Saccharomyces cerevisiae S288C: one gene and its partners. Changing the gene in region 4 together with the main gene of any one other region gives a genetic interaction. Each region holds a gene or a part of one and is shown on either strand. Other genes may lie near its edges. The genes, in order: CUE1, SSM4, MSC7 and ERG25.

Region 1 (2,756 bases), on a different chromosome or scaffold from region 4:
AATGACACTCGCACGTTTGATTCTGAGAAGAAAGTACAGCATATTTCACAAATTTTTTATCTGGAACAGCCTGGGAAGTGCATCGTACACTTCCAAGTCACAGACCTTGCCGTCATCGCGTCGGCCCACCACAACAGAAGAAAGCCATTGGAGGTTTATTTCAAAGCCACACCCGAACCAAACAGATACACTTTCACTCTCTTTCCAGAATATATAGTCACTGGTCATTTTTACAAAAGAGACCGAATTGAAGATTTAGAAGTGGTAACAGAGCGTCTAATAAACTGCAAGGAAGATATTCACTGGGTTCCGTTAGACAATACAATACCAATAAAGGCATTTTTCGGGCGATTTGCCAAGTTGGCAGCAATACCGTGTTCCAATGCTTAATAATTACATTTTTTTCTTCCTTTTTTTGGGTTATTTATTTAGTCATTTTAAATAAGTAAACACAAAGATATACTTATGCGCATTATGGGCACACTTGCGTGTTCCCGACAAGCACTTAAGCGTTCAAGTCAGCAAACTTTGCAAATCTTTATCACTTTGCAATTTTGTCTCCAAATTCTTTCTGGCTTGCCAAACCAACAATCTCTTTCTCTCTTCAATGTCTAAGTCCTTAAAGCTTAAGTTACTCATATCTTCATTGAGATCCACATGGAATTTATCGAGTAGATTCTCAGCGCAAATCATGTTCTTCTTTCTGGGATCGTTAAACTCTCCGCCACCAGCAGCGTTATTATCAACAGCCGCATTGGCCCCCATTGGCGCCCTGGAGGGCTCAAACCCAGGTGGAAAGCTGAATTCATCACCACGCAAGTACCTTTCCACTGTTTCCTCGACTGAGCCTGTGTTTTCCAAACTATACCTAATTTGCTCAGGATGTAAGTTAGGGGCTAGATTTTGCACTGTTTCCACCATCTGAGTAGTCACGGGGTGACCTCCATTGACTCTACCAGTCCTTCTCAAGGCATTCTGCGTGGAGCCCTGAGGACGTCCGTGTGCGTTTACACCTGTAGCGGATAAGCGTTGTGCTGAGGGATGCTGATTACTTTGGAAGAATTTTTTCAGAAATATAACTCCAAACACAAGAATCAAAGTGATAAGCAATCTCGAATCCTCCATGGCCAAAAGAAAAAAGTTTGCGCGATCGTAGATTGTAATGCTTTATGGCGCCTTTTATAAGAAATAGGTTGATGAGTTGTCTATTCAATGCATCAATGACAGGCCCACCTCAGTTATATTAGATCGTTTAAAATGGCGCGACAGCTACCCGCACCGTATACAAAAAGGCATTAAACTAAATGGAATACTAGCAAATAAACAAGTGTTACTGTCCATTTTAACAATTACCACCTTAAAAGTTTACATAACTTATACACAAAAGGGCTGCCTCATCGTTTGATCAACCCCGAAATTCCATCTTGAATTTCTTCTTCTGGTTTTTTACCTTGTATATAAATTGCGGTATGCAATCTGTCTCTTTAATGGAATGCTCATCGAAATGCCTTCTCACCACGTTGGCCAGGTCTCTCTTATGTATCCTTTTATCGTGCTGCCCCTGTGTGTTCCTCTTGTATGAATAAGTCTTCGCGCCCAATTTGGAACCCAATAAGTATCCCTGCAGCGTCAGGTTGTCCGGTACGTCCAATTGAAAGTGGTCTTTATACCTTCTCAGGAACGCATCCGTATACTCTTCGAAATCCATTGGGTGACTCTTGGGGCGCAGATCAGGGTGGTTGTCGGTGATATGTGTCTCTATGAGATTCTTAATGTACTGCTGTTGTGCAGCTGTGAGTCTTTGCTTCCCATTGGTTCTCCCGCTGGAGGTAGGCCCGTTATTGTTATTGCTGTTATTGCTGTTATTATTATTATTATTATTGTTATTATTGTTATTATTGCTGCCATTGTTGTTGTTACAGCTGCCATTGTTGTTACTTGCGTAACCACCACCCTGAGTGGGTCTGCCTCTCGATTCCGTTTCAGCGTTTGTATTAACTGGCCTAGCCATTACTACTCAGTATATACCTATCCTTCGATTTGCTAAACTATAAAGGAATTGCATTATCACAATAGATACACAACCGCTTTTATATAATTTCTAAGTTAAAATCTGAAAATTTCACAGTATATAAAAAAGAGCGCTTTTTCCCTTCCGGAACGGCGTTGCCTTGCTAAAACACATGCATAGCAAGAAATGGTATACAGCAAGCCTACTTAATATATCTCATTACAGTGCTATGCTGCCACCTCAAAAGCGTTTCACTTGATAAATTTCTGAAAGTTTTCGTATACACGCAAAGCGGCTTGTGAGGCATCCAGTGTCTCGTCCCATGCTCGTGCGATTTGTGCATTCAAATACTGCAGCTGCTCTGTAAGGGCCTTTTGGTATGACGGATCTGGATTGTCAATAGGATAGTCGGTTTCAGTAAGTATGCAAGTTGAGGGCAAGCTCCTGACCAGGGCATCTCCCTCTTCTGGGTCCTTAAAATTAATCCATTTGGATAGGCTCACAAAAATACGATCCGGGGGAAACTTCTTGAGCCATTGGCCCAGAAGCGTTTCCTTGGAGCCTGTGTACGAATGTAAACATATCTTGACAGAGTGATACGTCAAGAGCTCTTCATTGCAGATATCGTTTAGTTTCCCGTGGCACTTTACATCGTGTATAGAGATGGGCTTGCTTGTGTGCCTTGCCAGTCGGCAAAATCGCCTGAATACTGTTTCTTGATGCGATAGTTTGACCTTCACTGTCG
Region 2 (6,066 bases), on a different chromosome or scaffold from region 4:
AGTTGGTTGATATTGATGATGTGGCATTTAGTAGTCCAACTAGGGGTATTCCAAGAACCAGCGCGACAAGCAAGGGATCAAATGCACAACTTCTCTCTAATTATGGAGATGAAAATAACCAGTCTCAAGATTCTGTTTGGGATGAGGGCAGAGATAATCCTATACTCTTGGAAGATGAAGACCCTTGAAAGCACTCGCACGCATAGTTTTATATTTTTTATTCTTTTCCTCTTTATTTTTATTTTTTTAACATTCTCGCATAATAATAGTAACAGCAATAAAATAACTAGTAATATACATACTCACATAAATAGGCATATTTTTTATTTTGTTCTTTCGTATTCAGAATGGTAAATTTTTCTAATGAAATGTTTTACAAAAATTTTTTTTCTATAATTCTAACAATAAGAAATAAAACAGTGGAAAAACATATAACTTAATGTAGATATATATATGTAAATATGCTAGCATTCATTTTAAATGTAAGGAAGAAAACGCCTTTAACTTTCATCTGGTAAATTTTCTAAAGCTCTACCCTTAGTGTAAACCTCGTCTTTTACATTCTGTACAGTACTTTTGAACCATTGAATGAACAGCACAGTTGCTTGGAAAAAGAACGTAAATGACTCTAATGCTATCAGTAGTCCGAAATAAATATCTTGCATCCTTGTCCATGTTGGGAATGATTCGTTAAGCGATAAAGTGAAACTCCTGGATCCATGGCTAATATCGATAATCTGCTTTGTAGAAACATCACGTAAAAATACTAAGGATAAAATAATAATCGGCAAGACGTAAATTACCATGTGCAGGAAACCTTGTTTAAACAGTTCCAAAGCCATTGTTTTCAAGAAGTTCAATTTACTAGTATTTCTGTTTCTGAAAAATAGTTTCAATGACTTATATCCGGTTCCGAAATTGACCATTGACGAAATGATCCAAACGACGAATAACAAACTCTCGTCATATTTAAACCATTTGGAATTACCAATAGTGTATGAAGAATTGCCAAACACTCTGATGGTGAGATAATTGTAACAGGCTAGTATACCATCGGTTAAGACGACCCACGAAACCATAGTTCTAATAACCGCAATCATGATAGCTATAAACACCATCAGGTTATACTTCACCAACATACTATCAAATATACTGTTAAAGATGGCCATGAAAATTCCTTGACCCTCTTCCACATTATTGATATTATTAACAGGGGCATTGTTGATATCTCTCTCTGGTATATCGTGTTCCACTTCCTCTACTTCGTTTTCGTCAACGGCATGTTCATCGAGAGTGTTTTGGCCTTCTGTAAAATGAAGAATATCCTTAGCAATCTTGGATAAACAAACAGATCCGACACAGACATAATAAATGTTCAAATAGGAGTAGCTAATGTCAGAGAGTTCCTTCCATGCAACATAGACCTTATTTCTTTCACCTAACAATAGCTTTACGACTGGAAGAAAGCCGAAACTACAAACAAAGTTTATTAAAGCTTGACTAATAAATGTAACACCAAGCATTAAAATGGAAGCAAATAACCAAACCAGGCCAAGCAATGTCATATAGCGTAAACGGAAATCTGGAGGGACGTAAACGATATAATATTGATCATATTCCGTGTTTTGTTCGTCTAAATAACCAAATTCACCAGCAGCACGTTTGTTTCTCTCTTTAATTCTTTCCAAATCTAATGGTTTCAACAGCTTATCATCCTTTGTAACGGGGACAAACATTGTTTGTACATAATTTCTGGATACTATATCAGAAGAAGGAACACGCATTAAAACGCCATCGGGGACAAAATAAGCATGAACGTCACGAACTTGCCCAAACAATTCTTCTGCTTGTTCTAGAGTCTTTGGTTTAGTGAAAAGTTCTTGGTTTGACCATTCTGCATTCTTGGCAGCAATGTACTTGTAAAACAAATTGCGGTAAACAATATGGCCTCTCTCTGTTGGGGTATCTTTACCTAAGATAAAGGATGATAAACGTAATTTTCTTGAACATAACTTAAAAATTGTTTTCCAATACCTTTCCAATAAGGGTTTAACGTAAGAGCTAGACTCCAGGATCCTCTTCGTAAAATATAAAGTTAGCAAAATTGTATTGAACTTCCATGAAATAATTGATGTTGGTTTATAAGCTTCAGGAACGGATAATAAGTTCGATTTGAGCATGAATGGGAAAAAAATTCTAGTATGGAAGCCAAAACCTAAGACAATAAAAATCGCATAAATAAACATGGATAAGCAAAGCCTTGATAATTGAATACTCATCGGATGAATTAAACTATCATGCAAGATCTTAATATTAGGATCTTCTGGAGATCTGATAAAGAATAGAACACCTGGTCTAATGATATTTTTCCTAATCATTCCGATATATTTGGCAAACCAATACATGTAGAGAGTACCAATCGTCCAGTATACGAAAAGGGAAAATGGAGGCCATATTGCGCATATTGAAGGAACCCAAAGCATCCGACTATTGGATGCCAGGATTGGGCAAAATAATGAGAAATCTAGCATTACACCAGCTAGAATGGGGAATCCAGCCAATTCGATGAAAAATAAAGTGAACACCTTGAAAGTGCATTTGAGTGCAAATAAAATCTGGAAAATCAGCCTTCTAGTAGGGTTGCTCATTCCGTTCTCACGGCCATAACCCCTCGAGACAAGATTGGATGAAGCACAAACGATACTGACTGAGGTTAGATACGTCGTTAAAGCAGGTAAAGCTCTGATGAAAATTGAGTGCTTCATGGTGTTTTCAGTGTAGCCGTTGTAAAGATAAATGATGTCATGAATTAAGTGGTCTGAAATCCAACTCATCGCGACATCTACTTTAGGGACCAGTTTCGTCAGCCCATTGTAAGCTATATGAGCGCCAGACAAGTAGTAAAGATGGCACAACCCACGCAAAATAACCTTAAATATACCAAAATAAATTTTCAACAAACCGAACCCAATAAAAGTTGGAAACAAATAGGAAATTGCCAGGTATATTGCGGTGAAAACTACGGCAATTATGAAATAAGCAATGACATTCAACAATTTCAATTTGAGATTTATCACTAGAGGGCCTTGTCCTTGATCGTCTGGGTTAGCCTGTGCTGGTGGCACACCAACAGCTGCGCCAAAGTCTTGTTCGTCTTGATCGACATTTCCAGCTCTGTTTTGGGCAGGTGGTGGGATGAAAACCGGAGCGTTGGGCCTGTTTATTGCGTTCTGTTGAGCAGCGATTAGGTCATCAAATTCATTTTGCGCACGACGATTTGCCCACATGTCAATCGGATTGGGCTCTATATGATCACGGTAATCTGCCTCTTCTTCTGGTTGCTGCTGTTGCTGTTGCCCCTCTGCTTCTTCATCTTCTTCGTTGTCACTTGAAGACCCCGGTAAAATTCGTGACGAATCATCACCTGATGGTAAACTATTGTCAGAGTCGTTGTTCTCGTGCTCTTCCGTAGCCTCATCATGATCTAATTCGTCTACGTGGCGAAGGTTTTCAAAATTCCGATGGTCATTAGGATCCTGAGGTGGAACGTTATCGTTTCTGGGATTAATAACATTATTATTATTATCTGCTGCTGCGGCTGGCATGTTCAGTCTATCATGACCTTGCTCTTGACGATTTTCGTCATGAGCTCTCATTTCCCTCGCTAAATATTCAACCATTCTATCATCCATCATGGGGAATCTTTCCTTCAAACGTGATTTCAAGTCCTTGGGAGATAATCTTGGACCTATCTTGTGGAAAACCATTTTACTGAAAACATCCTCTCTTACTATCATATCGTATTGAAAGTACAATGCTATATGTAGTATCACTATCATAATAAATTGTAAAGACGTAAACGAATGGTTTTGTAAAAGTTGGTAAAAAATTGCTCTCGTGGTTAATTCTGGAGTTGCTGACTGATCATAACCATAAATCAAACTCTTTAGGAAATCACCAGGATAAGGGGATGATCCATCTAGCATCATGGTGTATAATTTTCCAAACATGTTCCATACCAAAGGAACACCGATAATATATAGTACAGCGGCCAAACCAATCGTTAAAGCCAAACGAGCTTTTTCGAAAAATGTCAAGATGCTCTTGGATAGTAGTAAAGAAAAAGGTATCTTTTCGGGCATGTTTTCCGCATATATCGTTTTGAATTGAATGGGATAGTGACAGATGTCACATTTAACATCCGCGCCTGGTTTTGAAATGTCTATATTTTTTGAAGCTACCCATTCCAACAGACAGGATTCATGCATGTATTTAATTGAGCCCCTGCATTTACAAGGATGGAAAAGAGGATTGTCCTCAGTAGCTTCTCCACGACAAATACGGCAGGTGGCGCCGGATGGCGCATCATCATTGAAAGTGGCGGTATCTGTTTCCTCGTTTGCCACCTTATGCAGTTCATCTCTTAACCTGGAGACATTAACGTCAGAATCAACATCCATGACTTTCACACTTCTAGTCTCTTTGATTCAATTAGTGGTACTCTTGGCTAAAAAAACAGTTTTTGAAATCAGTAACAAAGAACTATTCTTAACGTAATCTTATGGCTTCATAGATCGGTCATAATCATCTTTTCAATGTCCTCAATCGATGCGTTTTCAACCAGTTTTCCGTCTCTAATGATTTAATTTTTCTATTGAATTGAAAATGGTAAAAAGATAGCCCTGTAGGGGGCTCGAACCCCTAACCTTATGATTAAGAGTCATACGCGCTACCGATTGCGCCAACAAGGCTATTTCGTTGGAAAAACTACTTATTTTAGGAAGTAATAGCACATTTAAGATGCTTGTTGGAATGAAACTTTAAAATATCATCTGTTTAGTACTATTCATGTTACTAATTAAGATATGGGTGAATTTTGAGATAATTGTTGGGGGTTCCATTGTTGATAAAGGCTTATAATATTATGTATACGGAATATACTAGAAGTTCTCCTCGAGGATCTAGGAATCCTCATAATGGAATCTATATTTCTATATACTAATATTACGATTATTCCTCATTCCGTTTTATATGTTTCATTCTCCTATTACATTATCAATTTTTGTATTTCAGCTTCCTCTAACCTCGATGACAGCTTCTCATAATTTACGCCATCCTCTTACACCGCATGTGATGCTATTACTACTAAATAGATAACATTAGAATTTCATTCCAACAGCTTTAGTCTGTTTTAATAAACGCAACAGCACCATAATGTTATTAATTTTAATAAAGCCAAATTATGGCCTGCTGATTTCTTTTCATTGGTAAAAGTTCTATCACCCGTTCCCCATTAGTATGATAACCGATAAATAAACTCTATTACCTGGTTTCTTCGTTCCAGGAACGTTTATACCCTGACTACACATTTCTTTTGAAAAATAGGCCAATTGAACAATTAAGTTAGAAGCGGTTAGAAAAAGGTATAATAGGAAAAAATGCATCCAATTTTTACAGTTGAACCACTTGGGGGATTTTATTCTCGTATTGTAGCGGGAGCATTTTATCTTCGTACATCTTGGAAGCTGTAGATTAATCTTATTCCTATATGCTCCTTCAATCCACACAGCAAACCCCCAAATGGAAACGATCACTGAGTATGTTATAAACCAGCTTACGCTTATACTATTATCAAAATTCAAAAGATTGAACGGGGAAAATGGTAGAAATGAATATTGAAGCATTTTCGCAATGAAAATTAACCGCATTGTTTTTATAGTAATTCTGATGGCTAACGGCGGTAATACAGCATCCTTACGAAGAGCGGGAATAGTTCATTTGCCCTCTTTGATGGTTTGCATAACTGCGTTGTTGATTGTCTTAGGAATGGAAATATTTAACAAATATACCTATAATGAAAAAAGGGTCCTTCTTTTTAATTATTATTGGCAGCGAAAAAGTTGTCCCAGCTTCTACTTTTTTTCCCGTTAAAAAAGGAAGCGGCGGAAGCTGATCTACTCTCTAATAATAGACTACTCACTCGCATCTTGGTAACGAGTCCCTTTAAGATCTTGGTACATAAAGTTTGCTGCAGCAAAAAGGGCTTATTTGCGCATTCATGATATT
Region 3 (4,020 bases), on a different chromosome or scaffold from region 4:
GTATTCAATAGTTTAGTGTTCAAAAATAACAGAAAGTTTACAGATATTGCTACCACATCCTTGAAAGGTAAAAATGCACTTTTAATAACAGTTTTCGACCCCAAAGATGTGAAAACTGTGATCAGTGGGGTGCTTGCTGCGAACCTGAATTTAACTCCTGAAAGGGTCCCAAATAACGATTTGCAATTGAAAGTTTCGTTACCACCACCAACTACAGAATCCCGGTTAAAAGTAGCTAAAGACTTAAAGAGAGTATTTGAAGAATATAAGCAGTCATCGCTAAAAGACTCATTAGGAACTATCAGAGGCAGTATTCTAAAGGAATTCAAAAGTTTCAAAAAGGATGATGCCGTTCGAAAAGCTGAGAGGGATTTGGAAAAACTGCATAAGGATTACGTGAACAAGCTTCATGACCAATTCCAGAAAGTTGAAAAAAGCATTGTAAAATGAGGAATTTCGTAACGTGTATAGAATCAAAAAATCATAAATCTTGTACATAAAAAGTTCATTTTATATAATAATAAATACCAAATTATTGATAAGTTTGTTGCTTCCTCTAAAGTAAACTAGCTGGCTTCTTTAGCTAAAGAGAACAGTGACTTTATTCTTTGCCATGTGGAATTTGTATAAGCTCCTACGATGAAACTCTTTACAAAATTCCAAGCCTTAGCATTGTTACGAATAGGGTAGTCTAATGGTTTTGGAATTTGAGTGGAGACAAAAGGCAAAGTATCAAAACAGACACTTTTGGCATTGCACAAACCCAAAAGACCTTCTTCACCACCAAATTTACCGTAACCTGAACCATTGATACCACCAAATGGTAATTGACAAACATAGAATGTAGCAAAATCATTAATGGCTACATTACCAGTTTGTAGGCTATTTGCGACGTAATTGCATTCCTTGATATCCGCACCAAACACAGAACCACCTAGACCAAATGGCGCAGAGTTGGCTAGTTGTACACAATGGTCAGTATTCTTAGCTTTCATCATGACTAAAATTGGGCCAAACACTTCGTTTTGTGCTATTTTCATTTCTGGAGTGACATCCACCAAAAGAGTTGGTTGGAAATAATGACCTTGTGGATACTTTGGATGTTTGAAGCGGGAACCACCTTGAAGTAAACGAGCTCCCTTTGCAACAGCATCTTTAACCAAAGCTTCTAGTTCATCGAATCTGTTGTCAGATATCATTGCCCCCATATCAACATTTTCTAAATGATCAATATCAGACCCTTGGCGTAGTGGATTTGCAGTCATACGGTCATTCAAAATCTTGACTAAATCATCATAATTTTCCTTACTGACAATAACCCTCTCAATACCAATACAATTTTGACCGGATGATTGGAAAGTACCCCTCATGATGATAGAAGATAAAGCATCTAAATTCTTAGCTGAGTCTAGGACAATAAACGCATCCTTACCACCAAGCTCCACAACTACGGGTGTCAATGATTTGGCAGCGCATTTTAGAATATAGTGCGCTACGGGCTGACTGCCAATAAAAGTGATATGTTTGAAACCAGGATGAGAGGTGAAATAATTTGCGGAATCATCATTTTCAGTTGGAGGTAAACAATAGCACAACTGAACCAAATCTGGATCTTCATCACAAGCTTCCAAACATTTGCGGATCAGCTCGACGAAAAATTCCGAAGACCAGACAACTTGTTCTGAACATTTTACTACAATGGCATTCCCTGTGAACAATGCTGCAATAATTGGACCCAATAAGTTATGGAATGGATAGTTCCAGGAAACGATAGAACTGATCACACCCAGTGGTTCATAACGGATTTCTGCACCTTTATACCACTTCATGAAAAAATTAGTGGGGCCCGGACGTCTCGAAGGTTGCAACGCTCTTTGGCCGTGCTTTATAGTCCATTGAATTTTTTCTAAAGTAACCAAGATTTCACCCATCGATGCGTCTAACATTGTCTTTCCTGAATCCCTGCACGCTACTCTCGCAATAAGATCTTGATTATTTAGAATATAATCATGCAAAGAAGCCAAAACTCTCAATCTTCTTGAGAAATCAGAATTGCCCCAAGTAGATTGAGCTTTGCCTGCCTTAGAAACCATTTCATCTATGTCAGCTTCCGTTTTCGATGGAAAAGAACCTAGATATTGACCTGTGGCGGGACAATGACATTGAATAAAGTTTGGTTCTTCAGGATTCCATATGTTAGTGGAAACAGACCTCTTGCCCTTCCAATTATTTTGAGCGGCCTCTGGTGCAGGAAGGGAGAATTTGACTGGCTTATAGGACGAGGAACACTTTGCTGGGGTGGAGATTATCTTGACCAAAACATACAGAGTGAAAATTGAGGCAACTAGCGTTGTAATGCCTATCAGTTTTTGGTTATCTTGAATAATTTGGGGTTGAGAACGCATTATTGCGTTTTGCTTCTCCAACCATAAGTTAAAGTAAGCTTGAACTGTGGAGTTCAAATGGTTAATCATGTCTGAATTCAGATAGACCTTGGACATGATGAATAAACGTTCGATAAAACAGAGGAGAAACTGAACGTGAACTGTGAAAAGAATTCTACTATTCTGCAAATACTATTATAATTATATAGTAATCCCCATCGGCGTTTAGTATTTTTCGTTAATAAAATAAAAATAGAGAGACCATACTTTCTCCTTTACAACCGATATACTAAATAACACATTTTTGATTATACTACTACTCGTTTAGCAGATAGAGAAAAAAAAAAAAAAAAAAAAAAGGCTGAATGGATAAAGCGAGAGTCGTAAAGACCGAATGCAATGTCAGTTTATACATTTTTATTCTATTGGTATTATATTATAAAAAGATATATGATTAGAAAACTAGAATGTAATGCAATATTACAAGGCATTGATATGGACTTCAGCAGAAGGCTTGATGACAGTCTCGATCAAAATTTTGACAACGTCATCCTTTTTCTTCTCTGCAATTTTCTTAATCTCAGCTAATTCACCTTGCACACCAGCCTCTGCTTTCTTTTCCAATTCACCAACACCACCGGCATTCTTTTGTTCAAACTCCTTCAATTCCTTGTCTTTTTGAATTTTGTATGAGTCGATTTCCTTGGCTGCATCAGTCTTGGCTTGCTTCAACTTATCTTGTCTGTACTTTCTAGCCTTTGATACTATTTCGTGGGCTTCCTTTTCAGCTTGTAGTAGGGTGGCAATTCCGTTTTTTTGGGACTAAAGAGAATATTACATAGTTCTGAGCAACAATGAAAAAACCAATACCTTTGTCACGAGGTACCAGTCCAACAAGAGAGCACAGTTTTAAAAAAGTTTTTCATGTTAGTAAGAACGCTTGTTAGAGACAGAAGTGTTGACACGTAATGTAATGGCACATACCATTCTGCTTTGTATACCTTGCACACTTTGGAGATTGCAGGAAAAAAAAAAATGTATTGTTTAAGGTGTGATTGCTTTATCTATCACGCTCCCTTTTAGAGATGAAATTTTTGATACCCAAGGCAGGGTAACAAATTGAAAAAAAAAAAAATTCGCGGTAATAATAGTGGATGTCAAAGTTCATATTCGATGAGATGAGCTGGAATAGGAGTCCAGTTAATAGGGAAGGGTGTGGCAATTTGCAAGTATGGCGGTGTTGTGTGGTGTATGCGGAATAAAAGAGTTCAAATACAAGTGTCCAAGATGTTTGGTGCAAACTTGCTCTTTGGAGTGTTCCAAGAAGCACAAGACAAGGGACAATTGCTCAGGTCAAACACATGATCCTAAGGAGTATATATCGAGTGAGGCGTTGAAACAGGCGGACGACGACAAGCACGAACGAAATGCTTATGTCCAGAGGGACTACAACTATCTGACGCAGTTGAAGCGAATGGTGCATGTACAAAAGATGGATGCTAGAATGAAGAACAAGCGGGTTCTGGGGCCTGTGGGCGGCCACAACTCTAATTTCAAGAAGAGAAGATACGATATAGATGAGGATGATCGTGATAGCACGGAGTGTCAGAGGATAATTAGGAGGGGGGTGAACTGT
Region 4 (3,425 bases):
GCCATGATGCCACATCCTGAAAGAGTTTGCAGATTGGAGGCCAATTCCTGGTATCCAGAGGGCAAATACGAAGAGTGGGGTGGATACGGTCCATGGATTAGATTATTCAGATCTGCCAGAAGATGGGTCGGTTGAAAGATTTTTGTAGTTTTTGTATATGTAGTTTTTAAGTTTGAATAATAATTAGAAAGAAGCTGTCTTTTATTTATAGCATTTAATAATGGGTTTGCTTGTTAAAAATTTATCATAAATAGTATGTATATATATATATATATATATGGATATGTATACGTGGTAATGAACGTGTATACATATATTTAAAAGATTGCAATATAGTTTTTAGAATTAACCTGAATTAATTTAAAAATCATATATTAAAATAAACAATTGTGAAGGTAAAAAGAAAGAGTTAGGGGAGGTCAAACAAAGTAAAAAAAAAAAAAAGGAAAAAAAGCGGTTCGAAATTTATTTCATTTTATACGTTTTTTTGTTGTTTTTCTTTTTTTTTTTTTTGAAGTATGTTTCTTCTCTTAGTTAGTCTTCTTTTGAGCATTGTTTTCAGCTCTCTTCTTCATTCTTTCTTCTCTGGAGGCCTTAGCTTCTGGACCAGATTCAGTGTCTAGACAGTAATCCCACCATCTGAAAGAGGAAGCGTAGTTACCAATAAAGTAGTGATGATGCAAATCGTGGTGTTCAGCGCCAGCCCAGAATGGCATGATCTTGTTCAAAGACCATGGGAAGTCATAACCAGAATGAGAGTCAACAGCTTGGAATAATCTTAGGGTGATCCATACACATAGAGTGAACAAGTGTAATTTACCAGTGTACATGACGTAAAGAATTGGCATACCAACGGTACCAAAACCCAAAGACAAAGTTTCAGCAGGATGAGCATATTCAGCAGAAAGACCGAATGGAGCAGCGTATCTGTGATGTTGCTTGTGAATGTACTTGTAGAAGACACCGTAGTGGAATAGACGGTGAGCCCAGTAATGCCATGTATCTTCCAAGACGAAGAATAGACCAATTTCTAGAGCCATTGTTTTCAAAGATGGGAATGGAACTTCGACAGTAATACCTAATTTTTCACACATTGGGTGGAAGGTCCAGATAGGGATGGCCTCGACCAAGAAATGAGATAGAAGAACGGATTTCAAACAGTATAGTTGTTCCTTAGCACTTGGAATCTTAGTTGGTTGTAACTTCCATCTTCTAAAGTATGGAATTTGGTCGATGATGAACCATGGCAAACATCTAAAGAAATACATAAATTCATGCAATAAAAAGAACATTAGACCGGTGGCCAAAACATCATTGTTCATGTAACTGTACCATGCGGCCCAGTATTTCTCCATGAAATTCAATTGAGGTTGGTAATGGGCGACATTTTGCAAAGTTTGTGAGTAGGTGCTTGCTTGGACTAGACCTGAAAGGGTAGCGTTGTTGAAAACGGCAGACATCTTTTCCTCTTTTTTTTATGGCTGTACTACTTTTCCTTAGTCCTCTATGCTACTATCTAAAGAGAAAAAGTTACAACTAATATAAAGATTTACTGGAAGGAAAGAAACGAAGAGAGAGAAAAAAGGGAGAGAAGAAGAGAAGAAGAAAAAAAAGAATAGATCCTCCTGTATTATATATTATATAGAAGTATGCATACACAGGCGTACGCATACAAGAAAATGTACATGCATAACGGATTAATCGTGTGTATATAGTTTAAACTGCGCAGAGAATGAATAATAATAATACGACCACAGCAGAGGCGAGGCAAGCAAGAAAAAAAAAATTGGTGGGAAAGCGATGCGATACGGTGGCAAAGGGCCTCTTCCTCGACGGTTTTGTGCCAGGTGCCTTGAGGTTGCTGACTGTTATCGGTCATTGTTAGTTGCTATTGTCCTAGTGCTAGTCGTTTACCGTATACGATCTCTGTGTCCCGTATACGAAGGGAGGCAGTGGTAGTGGCAGTGGCCGTTGCGGAGCTGGCTAAACGACATCTGGGCGTAAACGACACCCGATAACTGGCTCTGCTCTTTCCTGCGAGATGGTTCTATCGGACCAAGGCCCAAACGGGTTTAAACGGCTGCCCTCCGCACCCGCACGTGACTACACCGGGTAACGAATGGATTGCGTAATATACCGATTTTTACTTTTTACACTTTTTTGTTTCCTATACGACGCGGACGAAGAGAAAGTCTTCTGCGCCAAGGCCGAAAAGAAAAATTTGAAGAAAACATTCTCAGATGCGAATCTACTTTTACATCATCTTCTACGTAGGCCCTTTTTTAGTTCCTTTTTTTTTTCTCCCTCGGTCTGTTTAATCATAGTAAAATCAGATATTGTCAAAAATTGTATTCATTGAATGGAGAGTACTTAAACTTCACATCCTAACATTAGAGATGCCAGAAAAAACATATAGGTATAAGTGAAATCATCATTATGATAAACGAGACGGATGAAAGGAGAAAAAACTGAAAAGAAAAAAAGGGCGGATTGACAATTCAAGAAAAAGGCAAAAAGTAAAGGAAGGTAACATCACTTGATATCGCACCCTTCTTTGCATTGCCTTGTGGTTACCGTACCACTCTTGCTTATGATTTTTTTTTCTTTTTGCGCGCGCTAGGCTGAAATGTAGAGGTTCAAGGTATGATAACAGCGGACAAAGGTATATGATGTCGCGCATTTGATGCCTTAAATACAATTTTTTTTTTTCCCTCCTCCGTCGAAAAAACGCTGTGAAGAATAAAAAAAAATTGTATTTTGTATTACCCGGATTTACTTTAGTCTCACATTGTATTGTTAGGGTTTTGCTACTTATGGTAAAACTGCCGCTAAAAAAATATTCATTTCTATCCTAATTGTATTTTTATTATGTAGAGCAAAGCTTGCGCGAAATTATTGGCTTTTTTTTTTTTTTAATTAATACTACCTTTTGATGTGAACGTTTACTAAAGTAGCACTATCTGTGGAATGGCTGTTGGAACTTTTTCCGATTAACAGCTTGTATTCCAAGTCCTGACATTCCAGTTGTAAGTTTTCCAACTTGTGATTCAATTGTTCAATCTCTTGGTTAAAATTCTCTTGTTCCATGAATAGGCTCTTTTTCCAGTCTCGAAATTTTGAAATTTCTCTGTTGGACAGCTCGTTGAATTTTTTCTTAGCTTCTAATTGTCTAGTTATAAATTCAGGATCCCATTCTGTAGCCACCTTATCCATGACCGTTTTATTAATTATTTCATAGCACTTGTAATTTTTGAGTTTGTTTTCCTCGATTTCATCGAAGTTCATTTCTTCCTCCAAAAATTTCCTTTGTTCTTCCGTTATGTCAACACTTTTCGTTGTTAAGCAATCTCTGGCCTTTAATAGCCTAGTTCTTAGCATTTCAGATCTGCATTTTTCATAATAATCCTCGGTACTTTCTACAAGAT

What was found.
Region 1: mutations in ERG25 (region 4) and CUE1 together harm fitness more than expected from each alone (negative genetic interaction), as found in Saccharomyces cerevisiae (4 studies listed by BioGRID).
Region 2: mutations in ERG25 (region 4) and SSM4 together harm fitness more than expected from each alone (negative genetic interaction), as found in Saccharomyces cerevisiae (4 studies listed by BioGRID).
Region 3: mutations in ERG25 (region 4) and MSC7 together harm fitness more than expected from each alone (negative genetic interaction), as found in Saccharomyces cerevisiae (3 studies listed by BioGRID).

What each region holds. Positions count from the first base shown.
Region 1 is NC_001145.3:794,174-796,929, reverse strand, and holds CUE1 (Cue1p), read right to left. Parts: upstream 1,126-2,756; coding exon 514-1,125; downstream 1-513. Other genes in the region: YMR265C (uncharacterized protein), read left to right, coding at 1-390; SAP30 (Sap30p), read right to left, coding at 1,406-2,011; YMR262W (putative endodeoxyribonuclease), read right to left, coding at 2,263-2,756. UniProt on the Saccharomyces cerevisiae protein: Component of the endoplasmic reticulum-associated protein degradation (ERAD) pathway.
Region 2 is NC_001141.2:295,550-301,615, forward strand, and holds SSM4 (E3 ubiquitin-protein ligase SSM4), read right to left. Parts: upstream 4,461-6,066; coding exon 501-4,460; downstream 1-500. Other genes in the region: SUMO protease ULP2, read left to right, coding at 1-188; EMA17 (Ema17p), read right to left, coding at 5,280-5,708. UniProt on the Saccharomyces cerevisiae protein: E3 ubiquitin-protein ligase which accepts ubiquitin specifically from endoplasmic reticulum-associated UBC6 and UBC7 E2 ligases, and transfers it to substrates promoting their degradation.
Region 3 is NC_001140.6:184,309-188,328, forward strand, and holds MSC7 (meiotic recombination directing protein), read right to left. Parts: upstream 2,502-4,020; coding exon 567-2,501; downstream 1-566. Other genes in the region: RRF1 (Rrf1p), read left to right, coding at 1-450; VMA10 (H(+)-transporting V1 sector ATPase subunit G), read right to left, coding at 2,865-3,206, 3,369-3,371; BCD1 (Bcd1p), read left to right, coding at 3,616-4,020.
Region 4 is NC_001139.9:608,599-612,023, reverse strand, and holds ERG25 (methylsterol monooxygenase), read right to left. Parts: upstream 1,461-3,425; coding exon 531-1,460; downstream 1-530. Other genes in the region: ADE6 (phosphoribosylformylglycinamidine synthase), read left to right, coding at 1-135; septin SPR3, read right to left, coding at 2,923-3,425.